Linked DNA regions of Stegostoma tigrinum. The protein of the gene in region 1 purifies or fractionates together with the protein of each later gene. This does not show direct contact. Links are inferred from orthologs where the notes say so. Each region holds a gene or a part of one and is shown on either strand. Other genes may lie near its edges. The genes, in order: sirt1, ezh2, histone acetyltransferase KAT5 and jun.

Region 1 (7,493 bases):
ACAGCATGGAGACAGACCCTTCAGTCCAACCAGTGCATGCTGACCTTAATCTAGTCCCACTTGCCTGAGGTTGGCCCATATCCCTCCAAACATTTCTTACTCATGTACTTACCCAAAGTGTCTTTTAAATGTAGTAACCGTACCCGCATTAACCACTTCCTCTGAAAGTTCATTCTACACACAAACCACAGTGTGTAAACAAAAACCCTTGTGTCTCCTTAAAATCTTTCTCCTCTCACCTTAAAAATATGCTCCCCCCGACTTGAAATCCCCACCCTAGGGAAAGGACACCTGCCATTCACCTTAACTATAGTTCCCATAGAGATTTATAAAATAATGATAATAACCTCCTCTAGCAAAGAAGTCCCACCTTATGCAACCTCTACTTATAACACAAGCCCTATGTTCCCACAACATCCTGGTAAATCTCTTCTGAACCCTCTCCAGTTTAATAATATCCTTCCTTTAACAGGGAGATCAAAAATGGACACAGTACTCCAGAAGAGGGCTTATTAATGTCCAGTACAGCCTCAAAGTAATGTCCCAGCTCCCATTCTCAAAAGTCTGCGCAATGAAGGCAAGCATGCTAACACCTTCTTAATCACCCCATATGTGATGCAAACTTCAAAGTTCTATTATCGGCATGTTGTGAGGACCCAGAACCTTCACAGGATCCTATGTCTTCAACTGTTTCTTGATATTGCACAGACTGAATTGAATTGGCTGAAGACTGACATATGATGTTGAGGACAACTGGAGAAGGCCAAGAGGGATTATCCATTTGGCAATGCTGGTTGAAGGTTTTTGCAAATGCTTCAGCCTTATGTTTCACACAGGTGTGGTAGCCATCCCCATTGTTGAGGATGGAACTCCGCCAGTGAGTTGTTTAATTGTCCACCACCATTCAGTTCTGGACGTGGCAGAACTGCAGAGCTTAGATCCGATCTGTTGGTTGTGGAATTGCTTAGCTCTGTCTATCACGTGCTGCTGATGCTGTTTGACACACATGTAGCCCTGCTTCGTCATTACACCAGTTGACACCTATTTTTTGGGAATGATAGCTGCTGTTCCTGGCATGGCCTCCTGCACTTGAATCAGGGTTGATCCTCTGGCTTGATGTCAAAGCCAGAGTGGGGAAAATATGCCAGGCCATGAGGTTGCACATTGTGTTCGAACAGAATTCTCTTGCTGTTGATGATCCATGTTGTCTCACTGATGCACAGTCTTCAGTTGTGAGATCTAGTCAATCTCATTTAGTGACACACAAACACGATGGAGGGTATTCTCAACAAGAAGACCAGGCCTTGTCTCAACAAGGACTGTATGGTGGTCACGCTTACCAATACTGTCATGGACAGATGCATCTGCGGTATAGCAGATTTGAGGGGATGAGATTGGTGAGGGTAACGTCAGCTATGTTCTCTTGTTTTATTCCCTCACACCTGCTGCAAATCCAGTCTAGCAGCAATGTCTTTTAGGATCCGAACAGCTCAATGAGTAGTGCAGCTATCAAGAAATTCTTGGTGGTGGATACTGAAATCCCACACCCAGGGTACATTTTGTCACCCTCATTCCTTCCTCCAAGTATTGTTTAACATGGAGAAGTACTGATTCATCAGCCAAGGGAGGATGGCATGTGGTAATCAGCAGGAAATTTTTTGTCCACATTTGGCCTAGTGCCTTGAGACTCCAATGAGGAGTCAATGTTGAGGACACCCAGGGTAATTTCCCTGGCCCCATCACCCTTCCCCAAACACATCCCCCACTCCCACAACACCACCCCAAATATGTACTGCTGTGTGACCAGCTTTGCTGCGTCTGCCTGACAGTGGGACATCATCTACAAGACATGATTCTGTGAGTGTGAGACAGCTCTCCCAGTTTTAGCACTGGCCCCCAGTGTATCTAAGGAGGGTTTCGCAGGGTCAGCAGAGCTGTGTTTGCTGGTGCTGTTTCTGGTACCTAGGTCAAAATGAGGTAGTAGTCTGATTTTACTTCTTCCATAAGACGTTCTAGTCATTTTCACAAGTCAGTCGTAGATAGCAGGGAAAAGTCAACCATATTGCTGTAGGCTGTAGATTTGCTTGCCGAACCAGTGTGTTTGATTGCAAATGTTTCGTCATCCTGCTAGATGATGTTGTCAGTGCTCACCGGGGCGCACTGACAATGTTACCTACAGGGTGCCGAAGTGTCTGCAATCAAACACACCGATTTGGAGAGCAAGCCAACAACCTCATCCACAACCTGAGCTACAAGTCTTCTCAAAAATATTGCAGTAGAACTGGGGTAATGTAGGCCAGGCCAGATAAGAGCAGAAGTTACCTTCCCTAGAGAACATCAGCAAATCAAACAGATTTTTCGGTCAATGGTTTCGTGGCAATTAGACTCTGGTGAGTTCAAAGCTCTTCATCTGCCACGGTGGGAATTGAACTCAGTACAACGCCAGGGTCTAATGGTAATACCAGGGTGCCACCTCCTGCCCTATTTCCTGTAATCAGCCAAATGTCATTCAGTACCCACTTACCACCCTTTGCCACCTCACCCCTTACCTCAGCTGCATTTGATAGCTGTCTGCCTTTGTTACCCACTGCTCTCCTCCCCAGAGTACACACACCCCCTGCCTCACTCCCCCTGTGCCAGACTCTCCCAGCCCACCATCACATACCACCTCTCCCACACCAACCTTCCCTTTCGACATGACCCATGCACACAGGCTTCAATCACCCTCCACGGTACTCCCTACACTTACACCACACCCCCACCTGCCCTTGCCCCAGGCCCCGGTACCTTCCCCCGGCGCCGCCCCATTCTCCGGGCTGTCACTCGGCGGCAGATCGTGCCGGCTGTCGGTGGCGGAGTCCTGCTGCTCGGCGCCAGGCGCCCTCCGCCGGCGGTCCCCGGTGCCAGCGGGGCCTGGTGCCGGGCCGTCGAGCCGGGCTCTCTTCCGGAGCTGATCGCCGTCCGCCATCTTCCCCAGCACCGCCCCAGCCGTCACGTGGGCCTGGGGTCAGGGGGCACCGACAGCCGCGCCTGCGCAAAAGGAGCCCGGGGGCTGGGTGGATGAGGGTGAGGTGAGGAAAATGGGGTTGAGGGAGGGGAGCGGATCGAAGGTGTGGGTAAGGGGAGTGGGGAAAGAGTACGCAAAGAGGGGGAGGGGGAGGGGGTGGGGGTGGGGGTGGGGGGGAGTATGGGTGAGGAGGGTGTGGGTAAGGGGGGGGTTTAGGGGAACGTTTGCGTAAGGGGAGGTGGAAGGTGTGGGTAAAGGGGTAACGGGGAAGGTGTGGGTAAGGGGGGGAAGGTGTGGGTAAGGGGGTTTGGAAGGTGGGGGTAATGGGGGAGGGGTGGAAGGTGGGGGTAATGGGGGAGGGGTGGAAGGTGGGGGTAATGGGGGAGGGGTGGAAGGTGGGGGTAATGGGGGAGGGGTGGAAGGTGGGGGTAATGGGGGAGGGGTGGAAGGTGGGGGTAATGGGGGAGGGGTGGAAGGTGGGGTAATGGGGGAGGGGTGGAAGGTGGGGGTAATGGGGGAGGGGTGGAAGGTGGGGGTAATGGGGGAGGGGTGGAAGGTGGGGATAATGGGGGAGGGGTGGAAGGTGGGGGTAATGGGGGAGGGGTGGAAGGTGGGGGTAAGGGGGTTTGGAAGGTGGGGGTAATGGGGGAGGGGTGGAAGGTGGGGGTAATGGGGGAGGGGTGGAAGGTGGGGGTAAGGGGGTTTGGAAGGTGGGGGTAATGGGGGAGGGGTGGAAGGTGGGGGTAAGGGAGAATGGAAGGTGTGGGTAAGGGGATGCGGGTGGAAGGTGTGGGTAAGGGGATGCGGGTGGAAGGTGTGGGTAAGGGTCGGAAGAGGATGGAAGGTGTGGGTAAAGGGGTTGGAAGGTGTGGATAAGGGGGGTTGGGTGGAAGGTCTGCGTAAGGGGGTTGGGGATGGGGCTGGGGGTGGTGGGTGTGGGTTACAGGGGTAGAGTGGGTGTGGGGATGGGGAGAGGGGTGTGTGCAAGCGGTTGTTCACGGGGGAGATGATAAGGATAAACAAGCATAATTTATGAATGAAGCATACTGCTCCAAACCATCTTGTGTACTTCAAAATGCAGGTCCACTGTATTCAAATTCTGTTGTTTTTCACTGGGGGACTGTGAGGTTGTTTGGTCGGGGTGGTTAACAGGGAAAGAAAGAGTGGGTGTTGGGTGAATGTTTCTTTTGTAAGATTCTATTGCCTACCTGCTTGTCACTACCCTGGTTGGTTAGCTCTGCAGTGATCCTGATTGACTCATCAGGTCTCACCAATTCATCAATTAAGGATATGTTACTGTCACAACTGTGTGGACCACCCCTCAGTGATACCAACCAGCAATCCCTCACAACCTGCAGAATTGACTACAGGAACAACATGTATTGGATAGTGTATTGGTTTGGCACTGATCCTTGCCTCCTTCATCTTCCTATCCTTCTGCATTCTGCTCTATTACCCTGATCAGAAAAAGACGAAGCGTCTAGGCCCAAAACGTCAGCCTTCCTGCTCCTCTGATGCTGCTTGGCATGCTGTGTTCATCCAGCTGTACATCTTTTTATCTCAGACTCTCCAGAATCTGCAGTTCCTACTGTCTCTGCATGAAAATCAATCAGCTCGACACGCCAATCAACAACTCCAAATGCAGTCCGAGCTACAGATCTTTGATAAAACATTAAATTGTTGACTTCTATTTTGCAGTAAAGGTAAATCTGTAGATTTGGGATTTTAGTCAATGAGTTTACAAGTTGTTTATCATTGGGCAATGATCTTGAGGTTGAGATAGATAACGTGGAGCTGGATGAACACAGGTGGCTAGGCAGCGTCAGAGGAGCAGGAAAGCTGATGTTTCCGGCCGGGATCCCTCTTCAGAAAAAGGAGAGAGACTTCCTGGTTATAGTATGCTATTTCATATTTTTCACTCTCTCTGCTCAAAAGCAATTTCCTGAAATAGAATTCTTTTGTGGATTCCAATGTGTAACTTCCAGGAAATTGTGAAGCAGTCAGGATGTTCAGTGGCATTTAGAACAATGTTACTTTCAGCTCACTAATCTTTGTCTATTGATGTGCTCATGAATTTGGCTCAAACTGGACAAGTGATCACAGCAGCCAATATCTGTCCTTTTTTAAAACCAGTGTTTTGCTCTGGAAAGGGTCTCAGGAATGACTCTTAGATGATGGGATTTGATATTGATCATCTATTTTTACTGTAATCAATATTATATTAAAAACAATGTATAAATGCAGACTGTTGATGATGATAATAAAATAGCAAATCCTCCAATTCTTGCCAAACTGGTTAGTGATATATGGGAACTCTAATGGGCACATAGTTCATTTGTGACATTTCATTCCTGTGCAATGACTTCTAACCTAACTTGTAAGAAATCTGACTTAGTGTGATGCGTGGGCATGAATGCACTGTCAGAACTTCGGTCCTAGAATCCCTACAGGGTGGAAACAGGCCCTTCGGCCCAAAAAGTCCACACCAGCCCTCAGAGCATCCCATCCCCCATAACACCTAATCTACATATGCCGGAACACTATGGGCAATTTAGCATGGCCAACCCACATCTTTGGACTGTGGGAGGAAACCGGAGTACCCGGAGGAAACCCACACAGACAGACACGGGGAGAACGTGCAAACTGCACACGGACAGTTAACTGAGGCTGGAATTGAACCAGGGTCCCTGGTGCTGTGAGATAGCCGTGCTAACCACTGAGCCACCGTGCCACCCCACGTTAGATAATTTGTTACATTGGAGTTGTTGGTTGGTTCGCCGAGCTGACTGGCTTTAATGCAAATATTTCGTCTCCCTTGTAGATGGCATCATCAGTTCTGTGTAACCTTCTTTGAAGCATTTGTTGTTCTGTCCCGCACTGAATTTCTATGGTCTGTTGTTATGTCTCACAGCTTGTATGTAATATATTTCGAAGAGATGTGCTCATGAAATCATCGCCACATCATGCCAGGCGACCTAAGGGTATAAAGGTCTCATATTCCATGTTAACCAGGGCCACTTGAAGATGCTACCATTTGTAATTGAGTAGCTTCATCTTAGCCTAAACACTGAAGTACCTGCAACTGTAATGTATGTATGTACCAGGAGCTTCAGTAGTGTCAGTTACCTCATTCATTACACTGTTGCCTTGTTAAGTTGTAGGAGCTAACATAAGCACTCAACAGATACGTATACCCGAGATAACAAAGTGTGGAGCTGGATGAACACTGCAGGCCAAGCAGCATGTTAGGAGCACAAGATGCTGCTTGGCCTGCTGTGTTCATCCAGCTCCACACTTTGTTATCTCGGATTCTCCAGCATCTGCAGTCCCCATTATCTCTGATACGTATACCCTACTGAAGGCAGTAGTTGGCACTATGGTGGTGATCCAGTGAGAATGCCACAGATGCTGTAAACCTGAAATAAACTATAAGGCCTATTTGTTTGTCATTACCATCGATATTTTGCTGAGTCTCAAACCCTCCAAGGGCTAGGTAGTGATGTGACACTGTGTCCTAACCTCTCTGGCCTCAGCTCACTCACTTCTGCCCCTCCCAATTCCTAAGTCTCTGCTATGTTCTTGGGTAAATTGTTTCTTGCCCATTCGGCAACCCCACTCCTCACCCAAGCAATACAAGGCACTCGGAGATAATGGGAACTGCAGATGCTGGAGATTCCAAGATAATAAAATGTGAGGCTGGATGAACACAGCAGGCCAAGCAGCATCTCAGGAGCACAAAAGCTGACGTTTCGGGCCTAGACCCTTCATCAGAGAGCCTCTTGTGGAAACTAGGGCTCCTTTTTGATGGTATGAGTTGCCTCATTCCATTAAATGCCCAAAGAGAAACTGTTGAGTGAAGGTAAGTCTTTAAAATAAATGGGCGATACGGTCAGCTGGTGTGTTGTTTCGGCAAAACCAGAAAAAAGTTGTAAATGAGAGACAGAAACTGTTAGAAAAGCTCAGCAGGTCCGGCAGCATCTGTGGAGAGAAATCAGAGTTACCGTTCGGGGTCAAGGTGAGAACTGAGCTTGGTTCTGAGGAAGCGCCACTCGCCCAGTAAAATTAACTCTGATTTCTCTCCACGGATGCTGCCGGACCTGCTGAGCTTTTCCAGCGATTGCCGATGTTTTGGGACGTTGCGGCAGATGCCTAAGTTAACATTCACCACAGGGACACTCACTCACTGGATAGAGACAGTCGGCGGTAGGTTTAACCTGAGAGTCAGGTGAGGTGCAAGGTTGAGAAGGTAGGATCTTCATGGTAACCTCAGCTGATGTGGGAAATGAATGCTCTGCAGCACAAACCAATGCTCCCTCCAACTGATCTAATTGCCTCCACCCCCCCCCAGATGGCAGGTGGGTAAAACACAAGTGACAGGAGAATGAGGGGATGGGGTGGTGGTGTGTTATGGAAGATGAGGGATTGAGTGACAGGAGGGTTAAGGTGGTGAGTGAGGGGGTAAAGTGATAGGCGAGGAAGTGATAAC
Region 2 (7,132 bases), on another chromosome or scaffold:
AAGTCTGCTCCAGTGCTGTACAGCTCTACGAGTGTGAGGGACAGAATGTTTGTGTTGAATATTTTCTTGAAAATAACCTACCCAATGAGTATTAGTTTCAAGAGGCTCCTTGGAACTTTGTTATGGTGATCAGGAATGCAGTACCCACAAGACTGAGCTTATACCAGGAGTGTACACTGATCATTTCAGACTGAAATGAAGAGAAAAATCTTCACTCACTTGTGAAATTTTGGAATCATCTGCAACAATTACCACATAAGCCGTTTCTGTTTTGTTCACTGAAAGATAAACTGACCTGTATATTTTACATCACCCAAAAGAGTGAACAGTGTTTTATGTCATATTTGTTTTGCAAACTTCAAATGGAAACATCTTCTCCACACATATCCTGTCCAAACCACTCATGAATTTCAAAACATCTCAGATTTCCAAGTCATTTTTCCTGAAAAAAGTTCTCTGTTTAATCGATCACAAGAGCTGTAATCACCTAATCTTGCAGCATTGAAAATCATTTCCATACTTGTCCCAGTACTTTATGCCTTGCTCTAGATGTACTCCGTACTCAATACATAGATTTGTTTAATACCACTTCATGACTTAATTTAAATACTGCTACAAATAAATGGCACTGCTTTATCATTTCTAATAATTTTGACTGTCTTCAATGTTGCTTTTAATTATTTGTCTATTTCCATTCCTGGATTAATATGTTCCACTAACTTCTAATTTTCTAAAAACATAGGTAATGTTTTTCTTTTTCCGCCCCACAGGTTATACTTACTCAACTCATTTCAATATTAAAATTCACTTGTCATTTAACTTCCTAGTCTGCAGCTTGCATTTGTGCTCAGTGTCAGGTGTGCTCCCTTGGTGTCATTTGCAAATTGATCTAGAATCCCTTAATCTTAAAGCCAAATCATCAATATAAATTATGATGTTAGTCCTAGTGGTGATAGATGCAAAATACTTGTTCTGATCTCTACCCCTCTTTTCCAACCAGTTACTTACGTCCTGACCTCATGTCCCAAATTTCATTGGGTCTGTGTTCACCCTCTTGAAGGCCTAACGTGTACTGCATCTTTATAATTTGCAACAGAATGTTGACATTTATTGCAACCAGTTATGTACCTTTAATTTTTTCAGCTACAGCATGGATTTTCAAGGGCCACATGTGGCCATAGCTGAAAAAACTGAAAATGAATGCATGGCACACAGATTGGCACAGACAGATCCTCAGAACAAACATGCAGGCACTCAGCTCATAGGTTGCATTGGTAATGGGAACTGAATGTGAAAGGCAGTTTTACTGCAGCTTTTACTGCAGGGCCTTACTGAATCATCATCTGAACCACTGTGGAGCCTTCTGTTCCCTTTAATTGAGTGATATAATTGCATTCAAAGCAGTTCAGAGAAGGATGACTCAACTCAGGGAGAGGGTTTACACTATGGTGTAAAGGCTGCTGACCATCATCTTCTCAAGGGCAAACAGGCCAGCCAAGTACATCCTAGAAGAAAATTGACTCCCTTGTCATGGAACAGAGATGGTGGTGGCATCAATGACTCTGAAGCCAGATCGGTATTGATTTTAGTGAATGGCAAACAGGTTCAAAGGGCTAACCCTGTTCAGAAGTCCTAGGTTCCCACACACACCCTGTGCACTGTTAGAACTTCACTGAGGTAAGCACTCAGGCTGACCTCAGAGATAGTAGGAACTGTGATGTTGGAGTCTTAGATGTGAAGCTGAATGAACACAGCAGGCTAGGCAGCTTCAGAGCAGGGAAGCTGACGTTTCTGGTCTGGACCCTTCAGAAAAAAAAAAGACGGGTCCAGACCCTAAACGTCAGCTTCCCTGCTCCTCTGATGCTGCCTGGCCTGCTGTGTTCAGCCAGCTCCACATTTGATTACCTCCAGGCTGACCTCACTGTTCTGTTTCTTGACGTTATACCATTTTAAGTGTAGATTCGTGCAGCTCCCCATAACACTGACATCATATCGACTGGTTTCTCAATCCCAGATTTTGATTTTAGATCTCTTTCGTCATAATAGGGGAATGATACATCACGGGAGGCAATTCAGTTCATCATGTGTATGACTTCTCTGAAAGAACTACCAATTAGTCCCACTCCTCTGCTCTTTCGCTATAAGACATGCGTTTTTTTTAACCTCCTACTTGTTACATCCCACTTGATGACTCTAGGTTTTCTCATCACGCCGCTAAACGAGTTAATCACCATGCCCTAATTCCACTGCCAAGCGGAGGAAGGGCATCCCCCGGAGTAACTGAAGGGCGGAGAATTAGTAGGGAAGAAGGGGAGGGGGGGGCAGAAATCAACTTCCAATAGATAAAGTTTATCCCCCATTGGTCTGTTCAAACTCGGCAGCTGATAAAATTGGAGCCGACTGAAAACACTGAATCGCTCCCCGAGTGAATGACAAGATTAAAGAATGATTTACACAGTCTGATCGGATCAGGCCTTCAATCTGTCCCTTTATTTATGATTGGGAATTAAAGGAAACATGTTCCGGGGAATCCGGCGCTACACCCGCTGCCCCTCGGGGAGGGGGTCGGTGGGGGAAGGCTGGAACCTAACGTGGCGAGCGCGCGGATTCCAAACGCTTGGCCGCCAGCTCTGGCCGTTGGAATTCAAATTTCCGCCAGCCCAGGGCTTCCGCAGCCAACCGGACTGACGGAGACTTCTATTCTTGCCGCCTCTTCCTTACCTGGATGGAGAAGCAGAAGCTGATCCCTGCTGACCTCCTCCTTCTCTGCCGCTGTCAGCCGGGCTAACTTGGAGCCGAAACTTTGCGAGAGTTTTACTGGGTGAGTTTACAGCCGGGTTACGCGGGTGTCAGGACGGTGATCGGGCCGGCCGGCAGCCGTTACTCTCACGTCCTCGGCTGGGTGGCTGACTGCCTCTGTCTGTCCCGCTCGCACTCCGTCTCCGAGCTCTCACTCTTCTTTTCTTTCTCTCCTTTTGTCTTCGTTCTCCGCCCGGCTACACAGATAGGGCGCGAAAACAACGTGTCCAATCCAATCAAACTTTGCTGAAGCCTGCTAACAAACCCTTCTTGCATTGGGCGCAGGAGGCCCACTTTCCTCCAATCTGCATTAACCTCGCATGGGAGTGTGGGATGTGACCATGTGGTGCTTCTTTGTGGGGCTTTCAGGGGTGGTTTTTTTTATGTGCCCGTCGTTCTGGTAAACGTTGAGTAAGTCGCGCTCGTGGAACTTGGATCTGTCAGGACGGAGCTACATCGAGATGCGATGTCAAGGGATGACTCAAGCTATGCGGGTGTATCCTCCAATTGTAATGTGCGGGTTTCTATTTATAGTTCCTTGTTCCCCAGCCTGAAAATGAAGATTCCTGTCACCATTGGCTGCTTGGCACCGAGAGTTGCTGCTGTTGCATTTTCAGTTTTGAGCAAGTTCTACTAGTGAAAGGTTACTAACTTCACGTTCCGGATTCACTCTTATGTTTCAGATGGAGCTGGGCGTAACGATGCGAACATTTTCGCTTTCTCTTGAAACCATTTTCATTTTGTTTTTCCGCATCAGCCTAGACACCCCCGTGAATTGAGACTTTCCGGTCTGTCTTCTACTGGAAAGGCTGTATGTAGTCCAGACAATGAAAGGATCAAACTTGCTCGGGGTTCTGTCCACAGTAATAGTTTGACACTACATTCAAGTGAATTATGGTTATCTGTGAGAGGGATCTTGGCACGTGTAGAAGCAGATCCCTGCCAGGGTTACTACCTTCAGGAACAAAAAAAACTTAGATGCAGCTTAAAACGAACGAATATTTTGTCCGAAGTGCAACCATATTAAACAAGTTATTCAAAAATGTTTATGCGAACATCTATTTCTGTGCCTTTGTTGAATGTGCTTCAATATTTCACTGGGTTTAGTTAGGTGCTTTTCTGGTCATTCATTTATTCTACATCTCTAATTACCCTTGAGAGGTGGTAATGGGCTGCCTCCTTGCAATCCATGGAGTGCACCCACAGTAGGGGAGGTTGCCACAGAAGTCATTTGGCTGTAAGGAAGTTGCAGGGTTTCAAATAAAGAAATGGCAAAATAGTTTAATCAGGATGGTTTGTGGGTTGAAGCGAAACTTACAGATAGTGATGCTCCTAAGCATGTGTTGCACATTCCCTTTTAGATGGTAGAGGGTGCAGGTTTGGAAGGCGCAGTCAAAAGAACCTTGGTGAGTTGCTGAATGCATCTTGTAATTGGTGTACAATGTTGCCATGATCTGTCAGAGGTGAAGGGAATGAATGTTGAAAGTAGTGGATGATATACCAGTGAAGTATCCTTTGTTATGGATAGTGTCAAGCTTTTTGAGTTTTTGAGCTGTAGACATTAGGTAAACGGAGAGCATTCTATCACACTTCTGATTTGTGTCTTACAGAGGATGAACGGGTTTTATGGAATCAGGAATTGTGTTATTTGCTGAAGAATTCTTAGCCTCTGACCTGCCCTTGTCCAGCCACATCAATTCTGTGGCTAATAGTTCAGTTTTGTTCAATGGGAAGCTTGTGCTGGTAGTGGGGTTTCAACATGGTAATGTATTTGAAAGTCAAATGGAAATGATTAAATTCTCCCGTGGCCATTGATTGGCACTTGCATTACGTGAATGTTGCTGCGATTTGTCAGGCTTACTTATCACCTGAAGCATCAACATTGTCCAGGTCTTGCTGCTTGGGGATATGGATTCGTCAGTATCTGAGGAGTCACAAATGGTCCTGAACAATTCCCTTGTGTTAGGTAAGCCTCCAAACATAGAATGTTTTCCATATGATTCCCATTGATTCCATTTATGCTAGGGTTCCTTCACAGAATTGATGTTGCTGGACAAGGGCAGGTCAGAGGCTAAGAATTCTTCAGCAAATAACACAATTCCTGATTCCATAAAAGCCGTTCATCCTCTGTAAGACACAAATCAGAAGTGTGATAGAATGCTCTCCATTTACCTCATGTCTACAGCTCAAAAACTCAAAAAGCTTGACACTATCCATAACAAAGGATACTCAAATGCTGCCTTGATATCAAGGATCATCACTTTAACCTCACCTTCAGTTACCTTGTCGATGTTTAGACCAAGGATATGATGAGTTCCAGATCTGAGTGGAATTGAATGCAATGAGAAAATTTTTGCTGAGTAATTGGTACTTGATGACACTGTCAGCAACTCCTTTGGTCACCTTGCTGATGAGGCAGTCATTGGACTTGCCCTGCTTTTTGCATATACCGTACAGGACGTGCCTAGGCAATTATTACATATTGCTGGTTTGATGCTAGTTTTATAGCTAAATGGGAACAGTTTGGCTCGGGGCATAGCTAATTCTGGAGGACACAACTTCAGTACTGTTGCCAAAATGTTATCATGGTCCAGCACTTTTAGCCGTTTCTTAATATGTGGAGTGAATTGAAGTCGATAAAGCATGGTATTTGTGATGCTAGAAATCTTAGGAGAAGGCTGAGGTGGATCATCCATTCAGCATTTCTGAATGAAGATTGATGCAAATGCTTCAGCCTTGTTTTTAGTCCTGAATGTACTGGTCTTCTCTTCCAACACTGAGGGTGGGATATGAGGCTATCTGAGATAGAAGCAGGTTATTTGGCTGATTGAGTCTGTTCCACCATGCAATTAAGATTGATTTGATAATCCTCAGCCTTGAATATACTTAACAACACAACTTTCTCAGCCTTCTGTTGTAAAGGTTTGCACAGATTTACTGTCTTCTGAGAGGGGGAAAAAACCTTCTCTATCCTAACTGGGAAACCCCTTACTCTGAGATTATCCCCTCTGGTCCTAGACAAGGGTATACAACTTCTTTGTCAAGACCCCTAAGAATCTTAGTTTGGTCATTAGTGTGCTGTTGTGCCACTTTGGTGATTTATGTTGAAATACCTAACCCAGAATGCATTCTTTCCCCTTGCCATGTTCTCCCAATTGGTGTGCAACATGAAAGAGAACTGATTCATCAGTTGAGGGAAGGGGAATTAGTGTGAGGTAATCAGCAGGATGTTTTCTTGCCAATGTTTGGCCTGATAGCATTAAACTTTGTGGGGTTCAGAGTCAATTTTGAAGACTGCCGAAACATTTCCCTCCTGACTGTACCATTCTGCCACCACCTCTGGGTGGTTCCGTCATGTCAACAGGGCAGAATATTCTGAGCTGATTATGGCAATGTCTGAGAAATAATCACGCTTGCAGAATCATACCTGCAGATAATGTGATCTCTCAATTTTGGCACAAGCCCCCAAATATTTGTAAGGATTACTTCACAGGGCTGAGTTTGCTTTGTTTCCAGTGCCGAGATCAATACCAGGTGGTCTGTTCAGTTTCATTTCTTTCTTGAGACTTCATTGTGGCTTGGTACAACTGAGTGGCTTGCGAGGCCATTTTAGAGGGCATTTAAGAGTCAACCATGTTGCTTGCAGGTCCTTAGTCACAAGTTGACCAGATCAGGTAACGATGGCAGATATCCTTCCCTGAGAATGTTAGTTAACCAGATGGATTTTTAGGATAGTAAACAGTGGTTTCTTGGTTACCATTAATCTAAGTTTAAATTACAGTTTATTTTTGCAAACAATTTGCTTATTTTCTTATTATTTACTCCCATTCATTCTCTCTCTCTCTCGCGCTCGAGGACAATATTATTTTATTGTTCGTTATTGTTTACCCAGCAAACAATGTGGATTCTTGTATTCAGTACAAGCTTAAAACTGAAGTATAAGGATATAAAGAGAACTCCCTTGAATCTCGTTTCTCCATGTAGTTTTGTGAAGCACATCAAGATATTTAAGTACATAAATGGTGCTATACTAAAAAAGTTGCAATTGTAGCTAACAAACTTCCAAATGAATGCAAAGGGCAATTCTGTGCATGTAAAAATGCCAAATGAGGACACAATTGGCAATAACTTTGGCCTACATTGTGGCTTAGATATGACAGAACACTTACAGCAGATTAGAGGCCAGTGCCTGTGTTGAACAGTTTTCTGAATTGCCGCTTTGTGTCAAAAAGAAATGGAAAACAAGCAAAAAATTAGCGGTTGAGTTTTAGTAGCTTAGGGACCATTTATAATTGAGTCTTCTAAGAATAACAGTCACTTAATCATTCCTTCA
Region 3 (7,701 bases), on another chromosome or scaffold:
GGATGTTAATGAATGATTATAGACCCTTCGCTGTGCACTGGCGTGATTCAGTCCAACCCTGGCCAGAAAAATCATATGTTTTCTCCTCGATGTCAGGAATCTTGCCTCTCTGCTCTTGTTATATTTTTCCCGAAGGGACAGCCCTGTTGTTCAAGAGAGGGGCCAATTCAGACGCCCACATCACCAGCTGTAATTCCTCGTCCACATTTTCCTCCAGCTTCCCTCCTCTTCCTCTCGGCCATTCCTCTCCCCGCCCCCTACCCCTGCCCCTGATGAGGTTATTTGTAATGGGATGGGCCGAAGCACCAAACTTGTGGGTGATATTCGACAAGCTGCACCGTCCTGTGAACATTCCTGTACGTGCTGATGCTGACACAATCTAGGGGTTTTTCTGGCATTGTGTTTCTGTGCTTTGCCGTTTGTACACTGCACAAGAGAGAGAGTTTCATGCTGAGTCGCTGGACTTCACCCTGGACCAGGATCGCAAAATGGGCACAGGAACAATCTTGGCCTCCAGGCTAGCTGTCAATCGAGGGGACCCTGATGAGCAGAAGGGCGTGAGGCTTACTGGGTTTTTTTCCCTCTCTTTTTCATTTACTTACTTTCACTTTTTTATTTACTTAATAAACGCACCTTTCTTTTCTTCTCACTCAGTAAATGTTTACATTTAAGAGAATTGCCATTGTCGAGCCTTCTCTTCAATACCTTTAACCGAATCAGACAAAAAACTGCACCTGAATGCACTCTGTGATCTAAGACATTATTCAACATCTCCCCTCATTCCCCTTGACCCCCCATCCTGTGGGAGTGACTCCCATATTCTACCCACTATCTGGGGGCCACATGATGGTTCTCCCGAATTCTCCGCTGAGTTTATTCGGGACTGACTGACATTGATGGGCCCTGGTTCTCTGCTCTCTCCTCTGCTGCCCCAGCGACCCCACCCCCCCCCACCCCAACTCCCACCCCTCCAACCCCCAAACAATAGGAAAACCTCTTTTCACAATCAGACTGTATCAAAACCTCCTTCTTCATTTTGAAGACTCGGTCAGAGACCTCACCTGCCTCCGCATTCTCTTTTCCAGAGAGCTGGGCTATTACATAAGGCTTTAGGAAGGGCTTTGACAAGGTCCCTCATGGCAGGCTAGTCATGGAGATTAGGTCGCATGGGATCCAGCGAGAGCTACCAAACTGGATTCAAATTTGGTTCGATGGTAGGAAGCAAAGGGCAACGGTTGAAGGTTGTTTCTCGAATTTGGGGCCTGTGACTAGTGGTGTGCCACAGGGGTTGGTGCTGGGACCACTGTTATTTACGTATATCATCTGGATGTGAATGTACAAGGCATGGTTAGTGAGCTTGTGGATGATACAAAATTAGGCGGTATCGCCGATAGTGAGGAAGGTTACCAAAAATTAGACAGGGATCTTGATCAGGTGGAGAAGTGGGCCGAGGATTGGCACATGCAGTTCAATACAGGTAAGTGTGAGGTGTTGCATTTTGGAAAGTCAAACCAAGTTAGGACTTGTACAGTAAACAATAAGGTTATGAGGAGCATTGTAGAACAGAGGGATCCAGGAGTACGAGTACATAGTTGATTGAAAGCGGCGTCACAGATAGACAGGGTGATGAAGAAGGCATTTTGCATGCCGGCTTTGGTCTGTCAAGGCACTGAGTATCGGAGTTTGGATGTTATGTTACAGTTGTGTAAGTTGTTGGTGAGGCCACACTTGCTCTATTATTGTGTATAGGTTTGGTCACCCTGTTATAGGAAAGATATCGTTAAACTGGAAGGTGTGCAAAGAAGATTTGTGAGGATGTTGCCAGGACTAGTAGGCCTGAGTTATAGGGAGAGGTTGGCCAGGATAGGACTTCAATCCTTGGAACATAAGAGAATGAGGGGTAACCTTATTAGGGAGTGTAAAATCACAAGGGGCATAGATAAGATGAATGCATATAGCCTTTTTCCCAGGGATGGGGAATTGATAACTAGAAGGCACAGGTTTAAGAAGGATCTGAGGGGCAACTTCTTCACACAGAGGGTGGTGTGTAAATGGAATGGGCTGCCAGGGAAAGTGGGTGAGGCAGGAACAACAGCAACATTTTAAAACCCTTTGGATAGGTACATGGATGGGAAGGGGACATGGACCAAATGCAGGCAATTGGAACTAGCTCAGCAGGCACCACGGTCAGTATGGACCAGTTTGGGCCTGTTTCCATGCTGTATTACTCTATGACTCTATGACATAAGAAATTGGTGCAAGAGCGAGCCATCTGGCCCATTGAGCCCGCTCCACCATTCAATAAGATCATGGCTGATCTCCCACTTACCCACTGTCTCACCATAACTCTCCTGTTAATTCTGTTATCCTGTTATTCCCTATCCTGTTCAAAAATCACTACCTTAAAAACATTCAACAGGATAGCCTCAACTGCATTGCTGGGTGGGGAGTTCCACAGATTCACAAACCTTTGGGTGAAGAGGATAATAATAGTCAGACATTACTGAAGAAAGGAAAAGCACTGTAGGATCAGCTCATCCAGGTTGGTGATTTCAGAGTGGGGATACAGAACTGTTTTTATTCTCAATCCGTTCAATACTTGTGTGAGTGAAGGGGAATTTTAAAAGGGCTGATAATAGTCAGCATGGTGATAATGGTAAGGGTGATAATTCAGGAAGTTGTTCAGAATGAAACTAATGTTAATAACAAAGGTGATAATTAAGATTATTAACAAAGATAATGTTAATAACAATGGTATTAATTGAGGAGGTTATGAACATCATAGTAGTGTTAATAATGATGAGGGTGATCATTTCTTTCTATTTTTCATGGGATGAGGATGTCACTGGCTGGGCCAGCATTTATTACCCAGAGGCCGGTTATGAATCAACAACATCGCTGTGGGTCTGGAGTCACATGTAGGCCAGGCCAGGTAAGGGTGGCAGTTTCCTTCCCTAAAGGGCATGAGTGAACCAGATGGGGTTTTCCCAACAATCAACAATGGATTCATGGTCATCATTAGACTCTTAATTCCAGATTTTTATCGAATCCTAATTCCAATATTTGCCGTGGCAGGATACAAACCTGGTCCCCAAATAGTTACATACATCTCTGGGTTAAACAGTCCAGCATTAGTCAGCTCCCCTCAAATAGAGGGGATTCTTAATAATGATACTAATAATGTTATTAATAATGACAAGGGTGTTAATTGAAGTTATTAGTGATAATAATGGTGAGGGTGTTAATTGAGGTTATTAGTGATCATAATGGTGAGGGTATTAATTGAGGTTATTAGTGATCATAATGGTGAGGATGTTAATTGAGATTATCAATGATAATAATGGTGAGGGTGATAATTGAGCTTATCAGTGATAATAATTGTGAGGGTGTTAATTGAGGTTATTAGTGATAATAACACTGAGGGTGTTAATTGAGGTTATTAGTGATAATAATTGTGAGGGCATTAATTGAGGTTATTAGTGATAATAATAGTAAGGGTGTTAATTGAGGTTATTAGTGATAATAATTGTGAGGGTGTTAATTGAGATTATCAATGATAATAACAGTGAGGGTGTTAATTGAGGTTATCAGTGATAATAATTGTGAGGGTGTTAATTAAGCTTATCAATGATAATAACAGTGAGGGTGTTAATTGAGATTATCAATGGTGAGGGTGTTAATTGAGGTTATTAGTGATAATAAGTGAGGGTGTTAATTGAGGTTATTAATGATAATAATAGAGGGTGGTAATTGGTGGTTATTGATGATAATGGTGTGGGTGATAATTGGGAAGAATTTAATAATAATAACCGTCAGGTTGACAATTGTGATGGTTATTAATTTCTAATAACGGTCAGGGTGATAATTGAGGTGGTCGTTAATGATAATAACAGTGAGAGTCATAATTGATGTGGTTATTAATGATAATAACAGTGAGAGTGTGAATAGAAAAGGTTATTAATGATAATAATGGTGAGTATGATAATTGAGAAGGTTATTATTGATAATAACAGTAAGAGTGATAATTGAGGTGATTTTTAAAATTATACTAATGTTGAGATTGATAATTCAGGTAGTTATTAATGATAATAACGGTGAGGGTGATAATTCAGAAGCCTGCTAATGAGAATAATGATAATAATGTCAATAATAATGGTGATAATTTACGAATTTATTAATAAAGTTGAGAATAATGGTGAGGATAAGTGAGGCAGTTATTAAAGATAATAGGGAGGGTGATAATTGAGGTAGTTATTAATTATTATAATGTTGATGGTAGAAGTCAAGAATGTTATTAATGATAGTAATATTAATGATAGTAATGGTGAGGGTCATTGAGGTGGTCTTAATAATGGTGATAATTGAGCAGTTTTTATAAAGAAAGTTAATAATAATAGTGAGGATGATAATTGAGGAAGTTATTAAGAATGACAATAAGGTTAATAATTTCGAAGTTGACAATTGAGTTTTTGGTGTTTTGGTGCTGGAAACAGGCACTAAGATAGCCACCTATACACCCTATCTGGTGAAATGGGTGCTAAATGTTGGTGAGTTTAAATGATCAGATTAACCCCCCTACCCCTCTGGCGGGTGAGAGCATCTTCTCCTGGGGGCTGGGATCTCTGGGCACACTCTTTATTGAATTATTTCGCCGTGTTTTTGCGGGGGGATGGCAGGCGGTGCGGCGGCCTCCTCGGCGACGTGAAGGACCCCGAGGGGACAAGATGGCGGCTGCGGCGGAGCGGAGTCGGTGAAAAAACACTTTTATCGAAAGAAATAAACAAACTCCACCGCCGTCCCGTGGCTAAGAGACATCGGGGAGCGGGAAAGACCGAGCGTGATCAACGTCCGCACCGGCATTTTCCACCCGAGTCTCACCCTCTGTCTCAGTCACACTCACCGCCCGGACTAACAATGGAGGTGATCGAAGGATGCCGCCTTCCCGTCCTCCGGAGGAACCAGGAGAATGAGGACGAGTGGCGTGAGTAGCCGACATGGCGGACGGGCGGGCGCGGTGTACCATCCCTCGGACGGGGCTGTTTGCATTTCGTCCTCCATGCCGTGTGGGGGCGCTCCCACTGGAGGACCCTGTGTGCAGTACCTCCTCCAGGCCACGTGGGGCGCGCTCCCACTGAAGGACCCTGTGTGCAGTACCTCCTCCAGGCCACGTGGGGCGCTTCCACTGGAGGACCCTGTGTGCAGTACCTCCTCCAGGCCACGTGGGGCGCGCTCCCACTGATGGACGCTGTGTGCAGTACCTCCTCCAGGTCACGTGGGTAGCGCTCCCACTGAAGGACCCTGTGTGCAATACCTCCTCCAGGCCACGTGGGTAGCGCTCCCACTGAAGGACCCTGTGTGCAATACCTCCTCCAGGCCACGTGGGGCGCGCTCCCACTGGAGGACCTTGTGTGCAGTACCTCCTCCAGGTCACGTGGGTAGCGCTCCCACTGGAGAACCCTGTGTGCAGTACCTCTTCCAGGCCATGAGGGGCGTGCACTCCGGTGGAAGTCTGTGAGTGGAGTACCTCCTCCAGGTTATGGGGGTGCTCCCAATGGAAATCCCTGAGAGCTGTATCTCCTCAGCATCATGGGGCAGATGGGGTGTATGCTCCCTCTGGAAATCCCTAAGTGTGTACTACCTGCTCCACACGATAGGGACAGGGGTGGTGGTTGCACTCTCATTGGAAATCTCTGAGTGCAGTACCTCCTCCACACCATAGGGAGCACTCCCACTGCAACTCCAAAGGAGTAATATCACCACCTGGCCATGGCGGGTGGTTCCCACTGGAAATCCCTGAATGCAGTACCTCCTTAAAGTTTTGGAGGGTGCCCCCGCTGCAGATCTCGAGAAGCAATCTCTCCGTTTAGCCACGGTGGTGGTTCCCATTGGAACTCCCCACATGCACTGCCTCATCCTGGCCACAGGGCAAGGGATGCAGTGCCACTGAATCGCCCTGAGTCTAGTACCTGCATCAGGCCGTGGAGGAGGGGTGTGATACCACTGGATCCTGTGGCATTAGTACCTCCTACAGGCCAAAGGGGTGGTCCCATTGGACCTCTGAGTGCAGTCCCTCTTCTGGCTGTATTGGGTGGGGTTAGGGGTGAGGGGAAGTCGGTTGCTCCCCTTGTGGAGTGCAGTCCCACAGCAATTCATATAAGGAGCAATACCTCCTCGTGGCCATGGGGGGGTTGCTCCCATTGTAACTCTCTGAGTGTGGTACCTCCTCCAGGATGTGGTATGGGGCGGGGGGGGTGGAAATTGCCATTTGGATCTTGCAAAGTGCAGCTCCTTCTGCAGGACTCAGAGCACAGGCTGTTATTGGAAACTCTGAGTGTGATATCTGCTCCAGGACACGGTGGAGTTTGGTGGGCACCCATTGGATCTTGTGAAGTGCAGTGCCTTCTCCAGGCCATGAGTGACGCTCCCAGTGGATCTTCTTTCTGGTCATAAGGAGTGGTCCCACTGAATCTCCCTGGGCACAGTAAATCCTCCTGGTCTTGAGGAGTGCCCTCAATGGAACAGATATAGTGCAGTAACCCGTCCCATCCACAAGGGCACACCCAGTGGAACTACGGTGGTAAGGTACCTCCTCCTCTCCAGAGAGTGTGATCCCGCTGGATCCACCAGAGTACAGTATCTCCTCCTGGCAGGACACACAGTCCCACATCTCCCAGAGTGTGATACCTCTTGCCACTTGCGGGGGCTCTCCAACTGGTTCTGCTGGATAGTTCCTCATCCCAACACTAGATGCACTAAGATAATAAAATGTGAGGCTGGATGAACACAGCAGGCCAAGCAGCATCTCAGGAGCACAAAAGCTGACGTTTCGGGCCTAGACCCTTCATCAGAGAGGGGGATGGGGGGAGGGAACTGGAATAAATAGGGAGAGAGGGGGAGGCGGACCGAAGATGGAGAATAAAGAAGATAGGTGGAGAGGGTGTAGGTGGGGAGGTAGGGAGGCGACAGGTCAGTCCAGGGAAGACCACCTCCTTGACCTGTCCGTCTTCCCTGGACTGACCTATCCTCTCCCTACCTCCCCACCTACACCCTCTCCACCTATCTTCTTTACTCTCCATCTTCGGTCCGCCTCCCCCTCTCTCCCTATTTATTCCAGTTCCCTCCCCCCATCCCCCTCTCTGATGAAGGGTCTAGGCCCGAAACGTCAGTTTTTGTGCTCCTGAGATGCTGCTTGGCCTGCTGTGTTCATCCAGCCTCACATTTTATTATCTTGGAATCTCCAGCATCTGCAGTTCCCATTATCTCTGATACTAGATGCACTAATCCCAGTTTCCTGCCCTCGTCCCAGATCCTTGAATGTATCTATATTTATAGTGCACATCCAAATGTTTTTAAAGGTTGTAATGTTTCCGGTCTCTAATACCTCCCAGGAAGTGCATTCGAGATTCCCAGCACCCCCTGAGTGAAAAGGTTTTCCTCAAATCCCCTCAGAATCTCCTGCCTCTTACCGTAAAACTATGACATCTCGAGATAGACCCTGCAACGAAAGGTAGCAGCTGCTCTCTACTCGCCCTGTTCATACATAGTTGTGTACATCTCATTCTTGTCACCCCCTCAGTCTTCTCTGCTCTAGAGAAAACAATCCAAACCTACCCAGTCTCTCCTCACCGCTCAGTTTCTCCACCCCAGGCTATATGCTGGTGAACCTCCTCTACCCCCTCTAGTGCTATCACGTCCTTCCTG
Region 4 (6,965 bases), on another chromosome or scaffold:
TAGCAGTCCTTAGACAGAAATATTGCCATGGGAATATAGTATTTAAGTGGCAGGCAACCAGAATTTTGGGGTAATTTTTACAGAAATAGCAGAGGTATTCTGCAACAGGGTCACACATTTTGTGTTTTCAATGTAGGGGCAATCACATTGTGAGCAATAGATAGAGTAAACTAAATCGAATGAAGTGCAAGCAAACTGTAGAAAAGGGATGTCTGCTTGGTGGCAGCATCCTACTAGAGGTGGCAAAGCGCTGACTTATGAATCTACCGAAGTACTTTTGGAGTTTAGTGATAATGGGAACTGCAGATGCTGGAGAATCCAAGATAACAAAGTGTGGATCTGGATGAACACAGCAGGCCAAACAGCAACTCAGGAGCACAAAAGCTGACATTTCGGGCCGAGACCCTTCACCAGATGAAAGGTCTCGGCCCGAAACGTCAGCTTTTGTGCTCCTGAGATGCTGCTTGGCCTGCTGTGTTCATCCAGCTCCACACTTTGTTATCTTTACTTTTGGAGTTTAGCTGCTTTAATAATGTTAGAAATGTTAGGAAAGACAACTTGAGCACAATAAACTCCCACAAACAGCAATGTGAATAATAACAATGCTTTTTGCTGTTAGAGAGATAAATATTGGCCAGGATGCCAGAAGTGCTTCACTGCTATTGTTTGAACTAGTGACCTGGGAGCTTTGACCGAATGGCCTAATCCTACTTCTTGTTATTACTTGTCACAGAATAAAGGGTCATTCATTTAAAACCAAGATACAGAAGAATTTATTCTCAGAGGGTAGAAAATATTGGAAGTCTTTACTCCAGGCAATTATGAAAACTAGGTCACTAAAAAGAGAGGTACAAATATGTTTTAAAATATCAGGGCATTGAGGGATATACGGAGCTCACACCAGGTCTTATTAGACGGCTGGCAGGCTTGAGGGGGCAAATGGCTTACTCCTTTTCCTATAAACTTATGTTCTTTACAATATTCCAGCAGACATTTGAACCTCATGCAAATATCTCACCTAAAGGATGGCATCTCCAACAATGCAGCACTCCTTCTGCATTGCACTAAAGTTTCAGCCTTGAATTTTGTACTCAACAGTATAAACAGCAAAGAGGGGAAAGAATTTCTGAAACGTATACAGGAGAATTATATTGCTCAGTATGTTTTCATACCCATAAGGATAGAAGCAGCACTGTATCTGGTTCTGCGGAATGGAATGGACTAATTCAAAATTATTTAATGATATAAAATATTAAAATGTAATTTGCCATAAATTGCATTGCATTAAGAATCCACAAAAAAAAGCTGCCAGTATGAAAGTAAAAGGCAACCTATCTCTATAATGCACAACTTACAACACTAGGTTCTTTATATGAAGTCTTAAAAGGGGTATCCCAAATGTTTTGAAGCATTTATTCCTGACAGTGCTGCCAAATCCCAGTAGAAAAAGGCAGCCTTGTCAAGGTGACTATGAAACTGGCACTAACACAGCTTGCAGAAAGTGTGCGCAGAAGAACATCTCCAACGTTAACAGCCTGCAACTCACATAGTACAAAGAGAGAAGGTAAGGAAGTCTAAGGGAGAAATACAAATTATACGAGAAATTGACACATATCTTTTCAAATTTAGAATTCCACATAAATAATTTATGGTTTCAAAATGCACACTCTGTAAATATAAACAGATGAGCTTTTTTTTAGAACTACTGCAACACATAGACATTTGTAATAAATTATATTCAATTTAGCTCAAAATAAATCCTCAAAATAAACTGTGTTTAATACTGCGGGCAGCTATTAATTCTTTCAATGTTCCATTCTGCTTAACGTGGGTTAATATAGGCTAATTTGACCTACATTTCTTGTTTAATGTGTTAAGGATATTCATCTGTACATAAAGCACTGAACTTTACATAGGCAACAAAATGAGGGTCTGTATTTTATGAGTTCCAGCCACTTACGTGGCCACATCTGGAGTTGCTGTTCCCTGGAAGCCCATCGCCAGGAATTGCAGCACCACCTGGATCAGTGGGCAATGCTGATGCTGCATTTGGAGCAGAAGAATGCATTAGTAGACCTCACAATCTAGTAAGTAGGGCTTCAGATCACCAGGGATAGTTAAGCAGGTCCTGGTGAGGGATACATTTAGGAGATCATTGATGTGGAGGAAGGGCTCACATGATTCATTTTGCATGTAATGCTACTGCGACCAAGGCAGTCATTGGCAGATAGTCCTTTCACGGGGCAAAGTGGACTTCCAAATAACATTCTCCCCCTACCGTCATTCACCTCAGAGCCCTAATGGTATCCACCAGGGCTCTGGGCAATCTCTCCACACAGGAGGGGCACTGGTAGGATGCCAGTACCCACAAGGAGGCCAATAATTGTCTAAAGTTGCTCAATCAGCTTCCAAGAATGTGGCATTTTCATCATCTTGCCCACCTTTTGTATGACTACATACTGCCAAAAGGAAATAGATGTGTCATTCCACAATCCAAAGTTTCCACTAAAAAGGATTTCTTAGCGATCTGAAAACAAATAAATAAATCAATAAAGGCAGCAGAATATCATTGAAAATGCAGACATCAATACCTTTCAAAATCATTAAGTGCTGCCCAATTTATTTTCAAAAACCCCGAAATCTGTTTGCAAATCAGTATGTAAATAGAGGCATCAACTGAAGGAGTGTCGAAAATGCATTAATCCAAATACATTTATACCCTGCAAATGTGGATTAATTACAAAAATCAGGAACGTCACTCATTGTGATTCATTCTTTGAGATATTATTCTAATCTACACCTGAAAAGAACTCATTTTGATATAAAACAAGCATCTAAAATTATTTTTGGAGAAAACAAATTAAAGATTGGATCATCTGCAAAGTTACAAAATGTATTAGATGTCATGTTTGAACTCTGATCTATACCAAGTCATTTTGATCTGTACCAGGATCAGTCCGGTACGCTGCAGCATGTCTGGACTTAAACTACCCGAGCCTTTCCTCCTGTTTGCTAACACGTGTGTAAATGTGTAAGCATTTAGTGAGGGCAGGTTTAGACATGCGCGCAATGCCTTACATAAAATTGTTTGCCAAATACAGTTTAGGAGTACCGACTAGTTAAAGAAGCTTTATTTTATAAATGCAAGTACCTATTAGATACACTAGCCTACAGATAGAAAACCCTAAAGTTAAACTGTTAAAATATATTTTCCAATCTTAACAGGTTATACTTTTATGCTGTACAGAATGATCCCTCAGCAAAATAAAGCTATTTATCTAATCACTGTGCTTATGATCACTGAATCCCGATCTTTTAGCACACCAGAGGAAAGACAGCTTTTAATTTTCTGAAGAACCCAGTACAGAGCAGATAGTCTGTTGTTGTATCCTCCCTGGATAAGAGAGCTCACGTTTCACTGGCTGGGTGGGTTATTTAGCGTTGTGGTTGCTGATTAAAAATGGGTACACAATGTCACCAAAAAAAAGTCGCCAAAAGCTCTAAGAATATAGTTGGAAGGGGCTTCCTCTCGCCAATGAAAATTTTCGCCTAAATAGAAACAGTTGCTTCAGGGTAGACTACGAAAATGACCACCTAGCTGCATAAACATGGGGAGGCTCAACTAAACGGGAGGAATCTTCCTACATATTAATAATCATCGCGCTTTCCCGAAAAATAAATCGATGTACAGTTTAAAACAATCGCAGTCACTTCACGGTGAGAAGCACAACGCTTTTGCCAGGCAATAGTGAAGGACAGTGGTGGCCTACAGTTGAAAAGCTAGTCGTTCACTTAGCACTTGGTAAAGGGCATTGAGTGCGCCGGCTGGTGGGGAGGTGGTACTCCTAAACCACCATCAAAACCCACTCGGATCCATTTCACGGGAGCAGACGGTCAACCTTAGGTCAACCCAACTTTGACCGAGGACCCGCCTCCACGTCACTGCCATTGGTGGGAGCGCAACAGGCCGTCGCGCCTCCATTAGGTGCCCAGGCGGCCTGTCAACGTGAACGTCACAATGGTACGGACGGCGCCTTGACGGTTTGCGTTCGAAAGTTGGCCCGCCTCCAGGACCTTCTCATTGGGCACAGCGCCACCAGCAAGCAGCTTCCCATTGGTCAGGCCCACATCCATCTAGACCCGCCTTCAGCGCGGTGAAAAAGACACACAAACACCCACTCTTTGTAAAATCATCGCGGTACATAACTACCAACAGGGCGGAGGTGGGGTGAGAAAGCAAGTTAGAGGACAAAAATAAAATGAGCCCAAGTGATAGTGGGTGAAACAAAATATTCTGGGAAAGCCACCAAATCAATCCCAGCACTCTTCCCGCCACTCCACCGACTTCCACCAAAGCGGGTAACTGGATCTTCAAAATAAAGACGTCATCCCATGATGCTCCACGCTGCATTACCTCAGCCCGTCATGCCCCACGATAGTTAGAATCTTCTGGGGCGTTGCTATGGAAACCGAGCGGACATGCAAAGTCTAAAACGCCCATACGTAATAGCCAACCAATGGGAAGGAGCCGAGATGACCTCATTGCTATTTCGGGTCTATTACCAGTTGCAGATAAGCTTGGGACTCACGCTGCAAGTGCTCAGAGCTGAGTGTGAAACAAGCTGGAGGAACTTGGTAGTTTGAACACTTTTCTTTTGATTTGGTAGCATTCTTACTGAAAACTGGTACAGCAGGAGAAATTAGTGGGAAAAGAAATCAACTGATTTCCCAAATTACGTTTCTATTATTGAAATTGTGAGCTTAACAGGTAACCGAGTAGACTTATTCGAACTCTTCAAGAACTCTGTTACATCTATTTTAAAACACTTTTGTATCAAAGAGTTTTCTTCCATCGGTATTCTATGTCTACGAAGATGGAACAGCCATTCTACCACGACGATGCACTGAACGCAGCTTTTGCACAGCCTGAAAATAGTGGTTATGGATACAGTGCGAAAATGTTGAAACAAAATATGACTTTGAACCTGTCTGATCCAGCGAGCAACTTGAAGCCCCATCTGAGGAACAAGAACAGTGAAGGTATATTAACGTCTCCGGACGTGGGACTTCTCAAACTCGCATCACCTGAACTTGAACGTCTTATAATTCAGTCCAGCAATGGACTGATCACCACCACCCCAACACCGACCCAGTTCCTATGCCCCAGAAATGTCACGGACGAACAGGAGGGTTTTGCTGAAGGCTTTGTCAAAGCTCTTGAAGAACTTCATAAACAGAATATCCTGCCCAACGTGACATGTTCAACTCCGTCTGCAAATACGGCGATCGCGGTTTCTGCCTCTCTGCCCAGTGCAAGTACTGTTTACAATTCAAATTTGCACCAAGAGCCTCCGGTCTACGCTAATCTCAACAATTTTAACCCTAACTCGATCACCGCGCAGCCTAACTACAACGGCAATAATATGAACTATGCAGCACCCCAGCATCATCCGATGAACCACCAAATGCCTGTGCAGCATCCCAGACTTCAGGCATTGAAGGAAGAACCTCAGACGGTGCCCGAGATGCCCGGGGAGACCCCGCCGTTGTCTCCTATTGACATGGAATCTCAGGAACGAATCAAGGCCGAGAGGAAGCGAATGAGAAACCGCATCGCCGCCTCAAAGTGCCGTAAAAGGAAACTGGAGAGAATTGCCAGGCTGGAAGACAAAGTGAAAACCTTAAAGGCGCAGAACTCTGAACTAGCGTCCACAGCAAACCTGCTGCGAGAACAGGTTGCCCAGCTGAAGCAGAAAGTTATGAATCACGTAAACAGCGGCTGCCAACTCATGCTAACGCAGCAGCTGCAAACGTTTTGATTCAAGAACTGTAGTGGAGAACTATTGGTGAACAAATGCAAAGAAGAGGACTGAATTAAATAGATCAAGACAGAAGAAAAGTCCTGATTGCGCCCTGAGCGCGCATGTACGGAGGAAAACGTGGAGGACTGTGCTTGATGTAAAAAAAAGTCTGACTGAAATGCTGTTTGCGGCAAAAAAAACTAAATTTCGAGTCATTGTTTTACTATGACCAAGTCTTGCATGGACCGAAGCAGTTCAAGATCATCCAGTATTACAGAATTAAAAACTGCGATAGAGTAGATCGCTTCTGATGTAGTATAATGTGGGGGAGGGCGTGGGAGGGAATAAAGGGAGGTTAAAGCTTTTGAGGTCGTTTTGCCTTGAAAAATGTACAGACTATGTTTTGTTTCATGAAAGATGATTTCTGTCAACAAAACATAACCGCTTCAAGCGATAGCCTTTGTAAGTTATTTTTATGTTGCTTATTGGGGCAAAACCCAATTTATTCTTGTAAATAAGAGATTTGGAGGACTCTAAGTTTACCATTTGTAATAAAATATATAATTTTTTATGTTCCGTTTCTGAGAACTTCTGGAAAAAGTTCAATTATATTTAAGAATGTATAAATAAAGTATTTGAAAAGATACGTATATTTTGTATTCTATTTTCTTGGCATATAATGTTCAGTGATATTGCAGCAATTCTTAACTGAGGAGTGAAAGTATATCTAGCATCAAGGATGTACAGAACTGTCCTTTGTGGTCAAGTTTCTTTCTAACAAACTTGAAACAGGCGAAATTCGCGTGTTCACTCTAACTTGCTAGGCGGAATATTCAGAATGAAAACATTTTCTTATAGAGTTCACAACATTATTCGAAAATAATATTGGGCGTTTCAGTTTCACCTTTTGTTTTTCAAAGGGTCTAAATGTACACTATGACTTGGTGCTAAAGTCTTATTGCCGATGTCTTTGCTCAAGAGCAGCAAACTATTTTTAATTTATAATGTCCTATTAATGTTATTTATAAAGTTTTAAATTCTTCATAATACGTCACATAAGAAATCCAAAATAACCCTACATACATTATTATGTATGGACTGAATAAAATCTTCATGTTAAATATTTGGAACAAATTAAAGTCTAGCATATGGATTTAAGGAGGC

What was found.
Region 2: the proteins of sirt1 (region 1) and ezh2 purify together in Homo sapiens (affinity purification with western blotting; 3 studies listed by BioGRID and IntAct, with this or other methods). This does not show direct contact. The link is inferred for Stegostoma tigrinum from reciprocal best matches to the Homo sapiens genes SIRT1 and EZH2.
Region 3: the proteins of sirt1 (region 1) and histone acetyltransferase KAT5 purify together in Homo sapiens (affinity purification with western blotting; 3 studies listed by BioGRID). This does not show direct contact. The link is inferred for Stegostoma tigrinum from reciprocal best matches to the Homo sapiens genes SIRT1 and KAT5.
Region 4: the proteins of sirt1 (region 1) and jun purify together in Homo sapiens (affinity purification with mass spectrometry; 4 studies listed by BioGRID and IntAct, with this or other methods). This does not show direct contact. The link is inferred for Stegostoma tigrinum from reciprocal best matches to the Homo sapiens genes SIRT1 and JUN.

Annotation. Positions count from the first base shown.
Region 1 is NC_081373.1:55,234,606-55,242,098, reverse strand, and holds the start of sirt1 (NAD-dependent protein deacetylase sirtuin-1), read right to left. Parts: upstream 3,008-7,493; 5' UTR 2,969-3,007; coding exon 2,788-2,968; intron 1-2,787. UniProt on the Homo sapiens protein: NAD-dependent protein deacetylase that links transcriptional regulation directly to intracellular energetics and participates in the coordination of several separated cellular functions such as cell cycle, response to DNA damage, metabolism, apoptosis and autophagy.
Region 2 is NC_081355.1:98,007,051-98,014,182, reverse strand, and holds the start of ezh2 (histone-lysine N-methyltransferase EZH2), read right to left. Parts: upstream 3,006-7,132; 5' UTR 2,722-3,005; intron 1-2,721. UniProt on the Homo sapiens protein: Polycomb group (PcG) protein. Catalytic subunit of the PRC2/EED-EZH2 complex, which methylates 'Lys-9' (H3K9me) and 'Lys-27' (H3K27me) of histone H3, leading to transcriptional repression of the affected target gene.
Region 3 is NC_081395.1:3,922,705-3,930,405, forward strand, and holds the start of histone acetyltransferase KAT5, read left to right. Parts: upstream 1-4,698; 5' UTR 4,699-4,914; coding exon 4,915-4,981; intron 4,982-7,701. UniProt on the Homo sapiens protein: Catalytic subunit of the NuA4 histone acetyltransferase complex, a multiprotein complex involved in transcriptional activation of select genes principally by acetylation of nucleosomal histones H2A and H4.
Region 4 is NC_081361.1:56,270,397-56,277,361, reverse strand, and holds jun (transcription factor AP-1), read left to right. Parts: upstream 1-4,583; 5' UTR 4,584-4,862; coding exon 4,863-5,819; 3' UTR 5,820-6,447; downstream 6,448-6,965. UniProt on the Homo sapiens protein: Transcription factor that recognizes and binds to the AP-1 consensus motif 5'-TGA[GC]TCA-3'.